Linked DNA regions of Tribolium castaneum. The protein of the gene in region 1 interacts with the protein of each later gene in a biochemical or structural test. Links are inferred from orthologs where the notes say so. Each region holds a gene or a part of one and is shown in the gene's direction. Other genes may lie near its edges.

Evidence for each region.
Region 2: of the proteins of lwr (region 1) and hypoxia-inducible factor 1-alpha, one has a biochemical effect on the other in vitro, tested with the Homo sapiens proteins (2 studies listed by BioGRID). The link is inferred for Tribolium castaneum from reciprocal best matches to the Homo sapiens genes UBE2I and HIF1A.
Region 3: of the proteins of lwr (region 1) and Aos1, one has a biochemical effect on the other in vitro, tested with the Homo sapiens proteins (6 studies listed by BioGRID, with this or other methods). The link is inferred for Tribolium castaneum from reciprocal best matches to the Homo sapiens genes UBE2I and SAE1.

What each region holds. Positions count from the first base shown.
Region 1 is NC_087399.1:9,253,925-9,258,350, reverse strand, and holds the start of lwr (SUMO-conjugating enzyme UBC9-B), read left to right. Parts: upstream 1-1,493; 5' UTR 1,494-1,641; intron 1,642-1,693; 5' UTR 1,694-1,700; coding exon 1,701-1,766; intron 1,767-1,815; coding exon 1,816-1,899; intron 1,900-1,951; coding exon 1,952-2,214; intron 2,215-4,426. Other genes in the region: transmembrane inner ear expressed protein, read left to right, coding at 1,270-1,355. UniProt on the Homo sapiens protein: Accepts the ubiquitin-like proteins SUMO1, SUMO2, SUMO3, SUMO4 and SUMO1P1/SUMO5 from the UBLE1A-UBLE1B E1 complex and catalyzes their covalent attachment to other proteins with the help of an E3 ligase such as RANBP2, CBX4 and ZNF451.
Region 2 is NC_087396.1:19,217,383-19,221,563, reverse strand, and holds the start of hypoxia-inducible factor 1-alpha, read left to right. Parts: upstream 1-1,324; 5' UTR 1,325-1,367; coding exon 1,368-1,708; intron 1,709-2,656; coding exon 2,657-2,844; intron 2,845-2,896; coding exon 2,897-3,048; intron 3,049-3,099; coding exon 3,100-3,282; intron 3,283-3,333; coding exon 3,334-3,533; intron 3,534-3,587; coding exon 3,588-3,694; intron 3,695-4,181.
Region 3 is NC_087399.1:6,089,857-6,093,335, reverse strand, and holds Aos1 (SUMO-activating enzyme subunit 1), read left to right. Parts: upstream 1-1,559; 5' UTR 1,560-1,743; coding exon 1,744-1,826; intron 1,827-1,870; coding exon 1,871-2,302; intron 2,303-2,350; coding exon 2,351-2,535; intron 2,536-2,579; coding exon 2,580-2,881; 3' UTR 2,882-2,922; downstream 2,923-3,479. Other genes in the region: calcium-binding and coiled-coil domain-containing protein 2, read right to left, coding at 519-1,078, 1,124-1,322, 1,371-1,409; U2af50 (splicing factor U2AF 50 kDa subunit), read right to left, coding at 2,978-3,109, 3,156-3,473. UniProt on the Homo sapiens protein: The heterodimer acts as an E1 ligase for SUMO1, SUMO2, SUMO3, and probably SUMO4. It mediates ATP-dependent activation of SUMO proteins followed by formation of a thioester bond between a SUMO protein and a conserved active site cysteine residue on UBA2/SAE2.

The sequences.
Region 1 (4,426 bases):
TTTTTATTATACACGGTGTGTTGTATACATAGTTGTGAACCAAAGTTATGTTTTTTTAAATAGGACATCCTATATATTTTTGGATAATTCGATTCAATGTGAAAAATAATGTAAGTGTAAATAAACTATTACACAGGTTGTTCCGTCTAAACCCTACATTAGAAGTATTGGGAGTTCTAATGATAGTTATCTGAAAATTTGTGTACAACCATAACCTTTTAGGTCCTGCTTAATAAAAATATTTTCAAAATGGTAGCACTTCCGGTTATATCAGAAGTCACTATCATGTTCCTCATTTTAAACGGAAAGCTATATTTTTTAATGCGTTTTTGAATTACTAGAGTTATTTTAAGGTTCTTTTCATAAGCTCTCACTAAACCTAAATTTATTCGTTTACAAAATATTACAAAATGTTTTTAATTTTTTTTTGGATTTGCACCTTCCAGTTCAAAAACTGATAACTCTACCACTTTTAAAAGATTTTAAATCTTTTTCAGCTTATTTAAAAGAGGAAGCCTAGAACTTTCCTTTGGCGTTTTCAAATTTCTAAAAAAGAATAACAAATAATTAAGTTATAGGTACCTGAAATTGTCCAAACTTAACCTTAAAATTTTTGGGTTTATTAACTTCATTTTCAATTTTAAACACACCAAAGAACAGATAAAGGCCTTCTTTTTTAATTCTCCTAATATGATTTCCAAATCGCTAAACTAACCGAGTTACCAATTTTTTAAGTGACAGGTGCAAATCCAAAAATTTTCAAAAAATCTTAAATATCCTAAAAACGGTAAATTTTAGGTATAGGGAAAACTCTTAAAATAACTCAACTAATCCAAAAACGCAGTGAAAAACATAGCTTTTCATTTAAAATAAGAAAGTTAACAGCGACTTCCGGTATAACCGGAAATGCTGCCATCTTGAAAATATTTTCATTGGCAGAACTTAACGGATTATGATTGACTACCAACTTTTAAAAAATTTCTTTATTAGAGCTTTCAATACTTCTAAAGTAAGGTTTAGACGGAACAGCCTGTAGTTTACCATAAATAACAATAAGCACTGAAACCTTTAGCCTGTATTTGAAGAAAACGCAATTTAAAGTGCACCCTCAAACCAATGTATCTTTATGGGAAAGCCCCGAATCTTTATTTTTTTCTGTATTTGAACTACTGAATTAATTTCTCTTTAGTGTTCTGAACTCCGAAATCGTCAATTTTGAGCCACCTTGTATTTTACGGTTTATTGAACCTAATTATTAATTTTTTGCAGCCTTGAAACTCATTCAGGAGGATTTTGACCAAGAAAATGCCAAGATCCAGGCAAAAGTTGATTTGCAGCAAGTGACGTCGAACTAATCAAATTCGCGCCAATGTTTTTGCCGCCAAATAATTATTACACAAATCCGGGTTTTTGTATTCGTTAAATTTGTTTAAAATCATACACGAAAAGTTTGAATAAATAAATTGTTCTGGAACAAATAATCGGCGACAGGGTGGCCAACACAAGTCGCGTCTGCGCGAATTCCCCTACCTGTTTTCCCAGTTTTTGTCTGTCAACTGTCAAGAAAGCACCGAAGCCCGTTAAATTTTCCTTTAGAGTTTGAATAAGGCCCCATTAAATACCCCAGTGCCCACTTTTAGAGTACGTTTTGGTCATTTCGTGCGATAATTTTGAGGTAGAGCCTGATTTTTAGTTCTAGGATGTCTGGAATTGCTCCCGCTCGTCTCGCCGAAGAACGCAAAGCTTGGCGCAAAGAACATCCTTTTGTGAGTAATTCCTTACAAAATTGCCCTCATGTAATCCATTTCTCCGCAGGGATTTGTGGCCCGACCGTCGAAAAACCCAGATGGCTCTCTAAATCTAATGAACTGGGAGTGCTCAATTCCTGGTAAAAAAGGGGTAAGTTTGTTGCATTGTTTAGTAATTGTTGGGTTATCGCATTGTTGTGTAGACGCCATGGGAGGGTGGAAATTACAAATTACGCATGTTGTTCAAAGATGAGTACCCAAGCATTCCCCCAAAATGTAAATTTGAACCACCGTTGTTCCATCCAAATGTGTATCCGTCAGGTACGGTGTGTTTGTCGTTGTTAGACGAGGAGAAAGATTGGAGACCGGCGATTACTATTAAGCAGATTTTACTCGGAATTCAGGACTTGTTGAATGAACCCAATGTTAAAGATCCAGCACAAGCAGAGGCCTACACAATCTACTGGTAAGTGGTTTTTTTACGGGGTGTTTACATTTGACGTAGTCAAGAGTGCTGTGGATATTGTGATCACGTGATCAAGGAAATTTCGTATCTAGTAATCCATGAAAATGAAAACTTAGTTTCGTAAAGAAAAGGCACTAAGACAATAAATGGACAAGGTTACACTACGGACATCTAAAGGTTAGGATACGAAATACAAATTAGTACAAATAAAGCGTTATTGTCCTCGATAGTTCCGTTAATGTCACCAGAGGGCGCAGTTGATCCATTAGCATCAAAGCCAGTAGATATACTAAAGTAGCGACACGGACCTTGACAGGGCAACAATAACGATTATATACTCTAGAGAGGGCGCAACTATCGAAATTCGACATATACCGCATTATTTACATAAAATGCGTAGCCTTGAAAAGCCTTAGTAAGTGCGTTTTGTCTCTGTTTCTACGTTTAATCTTCACTAAATGAAATTGCTAAAGGGGATGCTCTAAAGAGATATTCGTTAAAGGTCACATTAGATGATAGATTTAAATCGAGAATGTATTTAAACAGGCAGTTTAGTTTTCCAAGGCTCGACATTTTTTGTAATAACGCTGTAATTTTAAAGGTTCGCCAAATTGTCAGTAATTTTGAACATACGTCAAAACTGTCAAGATTCTCTCACTTTTGAAAAATTGGTAAAGAGCACAGTGATTCTGGCGTTCATCTGTAGTTTTACTGTGGTTATTGGTTATGAACAGATTTCATGGAACTTTCAAACCTGTGCTTAAATCACGTAAATAATAAATCGACACCAAAAACATTAAACAAAAGGGCCTCCAGACTGTTCAAAGTCGTCCACATTACGAAGCACGTCTGTGTGAGAATACTGGAAACTCATTCAAACAAAAATTGTTTCAGAAACATAAAGTGTTAGGTACCAACTTGAAAGAGAAATTTCTAAGATACCAAATTTTCAATAAGTATTTCAGGTAGATTTAAACAATACTTCCTTGAAAATTCTTCTAAATTATTAGATTCTGTCCTAATGGGAAAGAATTTAAGACCGCTCTGCTTACACTGACCTTCGTTTCACAAAATTTAATGCATCTAAATCTGGGAATTGTAGCGCATCGAAGTTTGGTGGACTTTTTATAGCCACTTATTTACAGCAACTATGGTATGCAACATTTAAATAATAAAGAGAAATTCAGGTTGTATTATTTCTATTTCTTAGGTAATATCGAGGTGTAAACCGTACCCCAAATTTTGTACACCTGTAATTTAATCATGATTCCTTCTGATTTTTCCCTAAATTTTTAAAGTGATTTCCTTAAAATTTCTTGATTTACTCAATTTTGTACACTGATTTCCTCTGCGGTTTACCTCTCGGGTAATATTGAAAACATTTTCTATTCTTATTGCGAAAAATGTCTTGGTTTCATAGCAGTTGTTAATAGTGTTGAGGGAAAAAATTAAATTTAATTAAAAAAAAATAAATCGACCAATTTAAAATCTTGGAGTAATTACATACGATAAACTGTAAAAACACTTAGAGAGGAGTTTATTAAAATTAGAAATGTAAGTATCACAATTTTTTTAAATCAAACAACTATTATTTTGAAACGTGTTTTTGGCTTTTTCGTTAAATACAAAGTTCAAATTCTTTTAAGGAATGAATTCACTGTTGAAGCGCCAGCACCTTCTTCGAAATGTCCATAAGAGTTGCTGTATTCTGCGCATTCTAAAAGCCTTTCTCATTGCAATGTTCAGTTGAATTTAGGGACGATCTGATTTACTTTTACGTGAGTGAAGCACAAGTTTGAAGGTTTCATGGTATCTGTACACATAAACTGTAATAACCAGGGTGAAATTAAAGACGATCACCGAATTCATTGTTCTGATTCACCAATTTTTCAAACGTGAAAAAATCTTGACATTTTTGACGTACGTTTTTGAATTTTGATGGTGGAGCCATCTGTAGAGTGTATAATCGTTATTGTTGCCCTGTCAAGGTCCGTGTCGCTACTTTAGTATATCTACTGGCTTTGATTAGCATCAGGTTTTCAGAGCAATGAATTTAAAAAAATTGTTGGTAAATTTTTACTTTAGCTACTTCTGGATTTTTGAAAATTTTTTTTTTGCATTTTGCTTTAAAAAGCCTCTAGATCAAAGATATGACCTTGAAAGTTTGTGCAAATGCCCCGTTTTTGAAAAATTCGACCTTGAATGACCTTGA
Region 2 (4,181 bases), on another chromosome or scaffold:
TGAAGTATGGTCCAAATTTATCATCTGGTGATAGTACGACTATGATAATAACTATTCCGTTAGATTGAGGTCGTCAGACGATAGCAATTATTTTTGTACTTTACAATGCCTTAATTTTTCCCTTGAGTAAAAATCATTTTTATAATGTTTACTTTGTATAAGGTAATTGCAGTGTAACATTCCGTAAATATTTGGTTTGTAGTGCTATCCTCTACGGTGATTTGCAATAATGTCTAAGTAAGAATAATTAAAATAGTTGTTTTCCTTTTCGCACTTTGTTCATAAATAAAATCATCACTAAGACCAAGGTCTAGAAATGCTAAATTGCTCGAAGCTCCTTAGTATTTCGTGGAATTGGCTTATCAATCTCTTGTCTAATAGCCGGGATTGCTGTATTATTAACATGATTTGCATGTTGAAAAAACAGAGCTTTGATTTTTGTGTCGCTAAAACGTTACTTTTAGCACGTATTTCTTTAATAATGTGCTGCTTCTTAATTATAGTTTTCGTGGAAGCTGCGTGTCGTATTAAAATAAATGGGATCACACTTTCTCGATTTTAAGAATCAAGAATTATCTTATTTAATGTATATCGCGAATTAATTGAGGAATTGCCAAATGTTAGTCTTCCGTCCGAGTATAATTAGGAATAAAAATTTAAGTTTTGTTTTTATTTTCGTTCTGTTATACGTGAGTTCCAAAGTAAATGAGAAAAACCTTTCATCTTTTAACAATTTTTTTTTCAAAATTTAAATATGTAGTTAAGTTGACACTATCATCTAGAGATCTTTAAGAAATTCAAAAGTACAAAAAGCGTCTTTTTTGCAATAATTTTTGAAGGTTTCACTGTTCGAAACTAAATGAAAAAATTCATATGCTAAGAGAAAAATATAAAGTATTTAATAGGAAACGCTGATTTCTTCCCGACTATTGGTTTTTAAGTTATAGTAAAAGCTACTTTAGCAAAAAAGTAAATAAAAGTAGCTTATTGAAAGGGTTCGTAAACGCTCAGAGATAGAGGGGTTTCGAATACAATCTATTGGTTATTTTCTCTCACATTTGCTATGTTTTATTCATGAATCCCAACTGTTACTTCAATAACGTTATAAGCACAATTGAAGATTCGATAATATGGCTATTTGCATACCCATAGGGAGGAAAATCTAGAGACGAAATGTATGCTTTTTAACGAAAAGCTGTTGATAACAGTTAAAAAAATCAGTAAATATGATTTTCAAGTGCAAAAGATTAGATAAGCCACAAGACAGTACTTAAGCTTACGGTTAAGTTAGTATCACCTCGGCTAAAACATAATGTAGGTTAAATTCGCGTTTTTAGGCACGTGTCAGTTCAATATTTTGGTGTTTTATGAAAAATTTCTCCACTTTTAACGTCACTAATCGACAGTTAACTAAAATGGAGTGTAGTACTTTTCCACAAGACGGTGTCGCGGTTCAACAAACTTCACAAATGAGCCCTTACTTGGGAAATGTGAATTGTGCGACCAGTTATGGATTAAATAATGCAACCCTTGAACCGATTCCAAATCGACATAACAGTCGGATTAGACCTAATGGTCTCCTGGCTCGCATGGCCTTACCGTGCCAGTCGTCCTCCAATTGGGATTATACAGAGTGTTATAGTTATTATGCAGATGGGTGCTATAACACTTGCCAGTTTGTTGAATTTGGTGATATTGAAGACTTCATGTAAGTGGCGCAGCTGGGCAAATATGCCGCGATAACAGCGAGAAATAATTAAAAGCATTGTCTTGAAGGGACGTCACTTTACCGGTTGGAAATAGTTAATTTAATCAATTAGATAAAGGTTATGTAATCGATTTTCGTATGCAGAGGGCAAACTTTTGTAAGAAGAACACTTGAACTTTTATACAAATGTTCACCAATAGTTTAATTATGACAATTAATCAGTCCAATTAATTTTACTATAAATTTTATTGTTGCGGCAGTAAATAGTATAATTAGCCGATTGACATTAGAGGCTAGATTTTATCAATTGATTGTAGTTTAAGTGCCACTATTTTACTATCTCCACGGGTTTTTGTGTAACAATGGCTAGACAGTAACTTAAAAAAAAACGTAAAGAATCGCAAAAACACTTCCTAGGATTTATTAACGGCACCGATATTTTCCTTATTTTGTTTGTCTATTTTTTTAATTCAATTTTAGTTTATTGTTGTCTGGAAGTTTTCATTCAACAGGTGGTCGTTAATGTTTGCGGTTTTTTTAAAGTCGGTTGTAGAGGAAGTGGAATAAAAATAATGTCTACTTTGTCATTGTAAGATTATGCCAATTTTTATGAAAAGTTAGAAAGGAAAATAAATTAATGACTAGGCATATTTTTAATTATATGCATCGCTTTTATTTTTATACATTTTATTAACTTATTTATCACAATTATAAAATCACATGATTAGTTCGTTTTTTGTGGTATTCTTGGATTAAGTCCAGGCACGGGGTCTGTCATGTGTTTTCTCGCGAAACTTTCTTATGAGTAGTTTGGGCGAACACTTAATGATTAAATAATCAAATTTTAGTCGAGTGGTGGTAGGAGCCTGAAGAGTTGTGTGTTTATTTTAGCGAAAATGTTAATACTTGTTTGTTGCTTCGTTTCGCTTAATTTTGTTCTTATTCCAGGAATAATGAGAAACGTAAGGAAAAATCCAGAGATGCGGCGCGATCTCGTCGCTCCAAAGAAACCGAAGTTTTTACCGACTTGGGTAACGCTCTGCCAATTTCACAAGAACAGGTTTCGCAATTGGATAAAGCTTCCGTTATGAGATTGGCCATTGCATATCTGCGGGTGCGGGATATGATCACTTTGGGTAAAACGTTCTTCCCCAGTTTAAAATTCCGCTTATTTAACAAAAATTGCAGTCCCGGAAGCCCCGGAGCCCGACGACCACAAAATTTTAACCGATGAATCAATTTTCTTGAAAGCATTAGAGGGGTTTTTACTGGTGATGTCTTCAGAGGGAGACATTGTTTACATGTCTGAGAATGTCAGCGAGTATCTTGGAATTACACAGGTGGTTTGGAAACGTGAGATTTTGGGCAAGATGTTTGACTTTTTCTTCCAGATTGATCTGATGGGTCAGAATATTTTTGAGTACAGTCATCCGTGCGATCATGACGAAATCAAGGAAATTTTATCAACAAAGACCCGGGAAGAAACAGAGACGCCTAAGTCGTTTTTTATCAGGCTTAAGTGTACTCTTACAAGCAAAGGCCGATCGGTCAATCTCAAATCAGCGACTTACAAGGTACTGAGCTGAAAACTGTGCAGAGAAATTTTGCTAATTTGGTCAATTCAGGTCATCCATTGCACTGGTCACATAGTGCAAACTGAAGATGACGGAAATGAAGAAAATGCGAAAGGAACTTTGCGCCGATGTCTTGTGGCAATAGGACAACCTATTCCGCATCCTTCCAACATCGAAGCCCCATTACCACGTCAAACATTCTTAACAAAACACAGTTTGGATATGAAATTTACGCACGCTGACGATAAAATGTGTGTATTATGTTTACCAAAGTGTTAACGAGGTTTTTACGTAAATTGTTACAGAATGATGGATGTTTTGGGATACGATTCGGAAGATTTGGTCGGGAAATCGGTTTATGACTATCACCATGCCATGGATAGTGACGCGATTTGTTCAGCTTTCAAGTGTTGTAAGTATTTGATAAGAAAAAATTGTGTAATTTACAGCATTTGCACACTTGGTCTGGCAATTCAAAATAATCACTGCTGCGGTTATTAGACATGCACTGCGAATTATTTGTGCAAAGATTGGGCATATTGCAGTTATTTATTTTTAAAGCCGGGAGGAGCAAATATTTGGTGACGATTTATTTAGTTTTTTATACTGTCTTCCCATAATCAGAAATTGAGAGAAATTTTAAGTGTGGAAAACAAGCAGGAATGTTGCCTGAAATGCCCATAAAATTATCTCCCCATTTGGTAAATGTGTTTTCCTGTTTAGTTTGTTTTCAAAATATTTCACAAGTTTACACAATTTCGTATATTACGGTAGGAATCTTCTCTATTAGCAGTGTTGGTATGTTGCGTTAGGTGGCGTTTTTGCACCTAACTGGATTAAACTTTTTGTTTGATTTTCTGATGGAAAACAAATTTAAAAACAGGTCAAAGAACGCTCCA
Region 3 (3,479 bases), about 3.2 Mb from region 1:
CAGATAGCAAAGTCACTTTGATTTATTTTATGCACGGGCGCAACGTTGCATTGCAACCGACCCGAGCAAAGTCCTGAAAGGGAACAATCCCATAATTACCTAATCCCGCAGGACTTTCACAAACGGGAAACGCAAAACTGGGCACAACTCGTGGGGTCACTACCAACTTTGCGACGTGCGCCTGACATACCTGGAATTTTCCGCGGCTTGCGCCACTGTGGGTGCGCCCGAACGGTGGTGGAGCACGGCAGCGGTGGTGTGCGCCCCCCGGGAGACAATCTTGTTTATGTAACTAAAAAATTAACGCAAACATACGTAACGGAGCTAAAATTAGTGTTGGCAATGATTCACAGCTGTCACACGGAACTATCACGTGACCGCAGGGCCGCCAACCCACACATAATATGATATAATTAAATTAAATTAATTAATTGGAAATTGGAAACTCAAGGAAAATTTGTGCCGTTTCGTTACGTTTATTTACAATTTACACACCTATGTTAACATTAGCGCACAGTTCACATTTTGTCAAGATCGTCAAACGGGAAGGCGGGAAGTGACTGTAAACTCCCCAAATCGAAATCAATATTTAATCTCTTGACGTTTTTACCACACGCTGACTCGAACCTCCGCTCTGCCAATTTCTTCTCCAATAGTAGATTTTTTTGCTCGGCTTTATCCTTCCTCACTTCGCTTTTCAAAGCGTCGATTTCCTTCTGTTGCCCCAAAACAACGTTTTTCAATTTACTAGTCAACTCCTTCAACTGTTCAATATCATCGTCGTAGTTTTTGCTCCGTTGGAACTTGCGCTGATCAACCATTGATTTTAGGGATTCTTTCAGAATCGCATTTTCCTCCTTTAATCGCAAAATTTCCTTGTCTTTGTGCGCTAGCAACTGCTTTAAATGCGTGCATTGGTTCTCATTTTTCAGGGAATCCGTCAGATTTACGGTATGTTTCGAATCAAATGAATAAATCTGGAATGGAGTGCTGATTCCTTGGACCACGTTCTCGCCACTTATGTAGCAAAACTGGTACAAGTCGTCCGTTTCACTCGGACTATTTGGCAAGTCGTACCCTAGAAAACATTTAGAAATTTGGCACAACAGGGGAGTCCCCTTACTGCTGAAAACAACTGAGTTCACGTCAGCCACAGACGAGTCCACAGCCCACTCAAACAAAACGTAGTTCCTCAAGGACTTCCACCCCGTCTTAAATATTGCGATTCGATCGCCGTCTTGCACTTTATAGTTGTTAAACGTGTATTTACATTCGATGTCTTCGTTACAAGGGTATCTGTCCAAAGTGTCAACAAACTTCACCTAAAAAGGGGCAAATTTAGGCCCAACGTGCGGTTGGTTCTTAATTACCGTGAGCTGGTCTGCCATCAGTGCTATGCTTGTGTCCATTTTTTGCGAGTTTTAAGCCTCTTTTTTGAATTTTTACAAATGTACACCTACTCCGCCACCATATTTGTTTACATTGACAGGCAAGATGGCCGCTTCGTCCAAAAAACGCGAACTAATTTACTAATTAGTGTCTAATTACGACCAGAACTGGCATTTCGGCCACTTACCTGAATTAATTAAACTTACGTAATAGTTTTATAAAAAAAAATGCAATAATTAATTATAAAAATTGATTACAAGGGAACAAAAACCCTACCCTAAGTTGGCAGCACTTTTTGTTACCGTCTTTCAAGAGCCGGGTTTTTACGCTTTTTATTCCAATAATTGTGTAATAATGAGTGAAAAACAATTGTCCACCGACGAGGCGGAGGTCTACGACCGCCAGATTCGCTTGTGGGGCATCGAGGCGCAGGAAAAGTAGGCAAATTTGGCTTTGGGCCCCGCTAACCTTACTTTCGCAGGTTGAGAGCCGCCAATGTTTTGTTGATTGGGGTCCGCAGTTTGGGCTCCGAAATCGCCAAAAACATCCTGCTTTCGGGGATCAACTCGTTGACCATTCTGGACGACGGAGTTGTCTCGCAGGACGACGTGACTCGTAACTTTTTGTTACACGAAAAAGTGGCCCTCGGGAGCAAAATCGCGGAACAGGTCCTGCCGAGGGCCCAGGCCTTGAATCCGTTGGTGAAAATTGTGGTTGACACGGGTTCAGTTGCGGCGAAAAGTGGGGACTATTTCAAGGAGTTTACGATTGTGGTTGCCACAAAGCTAAAGTTTGAGCTGATTTTGAAAATTGATGGGTTCTGCAGGGAGCACAATGTCAAGTTTATTTACGGCGAAGTGGCCGGGTTTTTTGGGTATTCGGTGTCGGATTTCCAGGATCATGAATATTTCGAGTAATAATTTTTTGCCGATTTATTTAATTTTAATTAAAATTATCTCAGGGATCGGATCCAGCTTGCAACAGGCGCGAAACGGGGCCATGAAGGGGACAAGAAAACGAAACGAATTAAAGGCAAATTGACTTATCCTCCGTTAAATAAAGTACTTGTGTTACCCAACACGAAACAAGACATTGGGAGCATTAAAAAAATGTCAAGACCTAACAAGTTGTTCGTCTGCATGTTAAGTAAGTGACTAGTTATTTGTTTCCTTTATTAATTATTGATTCAGTGTTACTGGAATTTCGTAAGAGGTTCGAGCGTGACCCTGATTTAGAAAATAAATCAGATGAAATTGAAGAACTGAGAGACATCGCTACTGAAATAATAAAATTGTATCAATTCACAAAAGTCAACGTTGATAATTTATTAGATCTGGTATTCGGTGAAGTCAGTCCTGTTTGTGCTATCCTTGGTGGGATAATGTCCCAAGAAGTGATCAAAGCAGCCTCACACAAAGAAGTCACAATCAATAACATTTTTCTTTTTGACCCTGTGACTTACAGCGGGAAGGAACTAACAGTAGGAGCATAATTTTTCAGTATTGTATTTTTTGTAATAAAACACTAATCCTACTTATTTTTTTATTCACCAGAACACATACGTCAAACATTTTTTCCTTAATTAAAATTAAAATTCTCTTCTATGATACTTATCCGGATCGAAATACGACGTCACGACGACTCTATTACTGAACTTACGACCAGTGAGAGTCTGTTGTGCCTTTTGGCAGTCCAGAACCGAATTAAATTCGACAAAAACCTAAAAGAATACATTCAACACTCGGCTTTCGCCTCGTCAAACTTACTTTTCCACATCCCGGAACTTCGACGCCATCTATCGGCCGGGGTATTTCTATGCTCCGAACGACGCCGTATTTATTACACTCTTCTTTGATATCTTCGAGAATATCTTCGTATTCTTCCTCGTCTTTAAGCTCATCGGGAGTGACCATATTCAACAAACATAAAACTTCAGTTGGCGGCCCTGAAGCCCCCACGAGACTGAGACCCGGTACTTGTATCTGTACCGCAGGTATGACGGTTGCGTTTTTAGCCCCCACGCTAGCCCTCTGTACTATCAAACGTTTATCGCCCAATTGCATCCCGTTTAATCCAGCGATGGCCTTGAA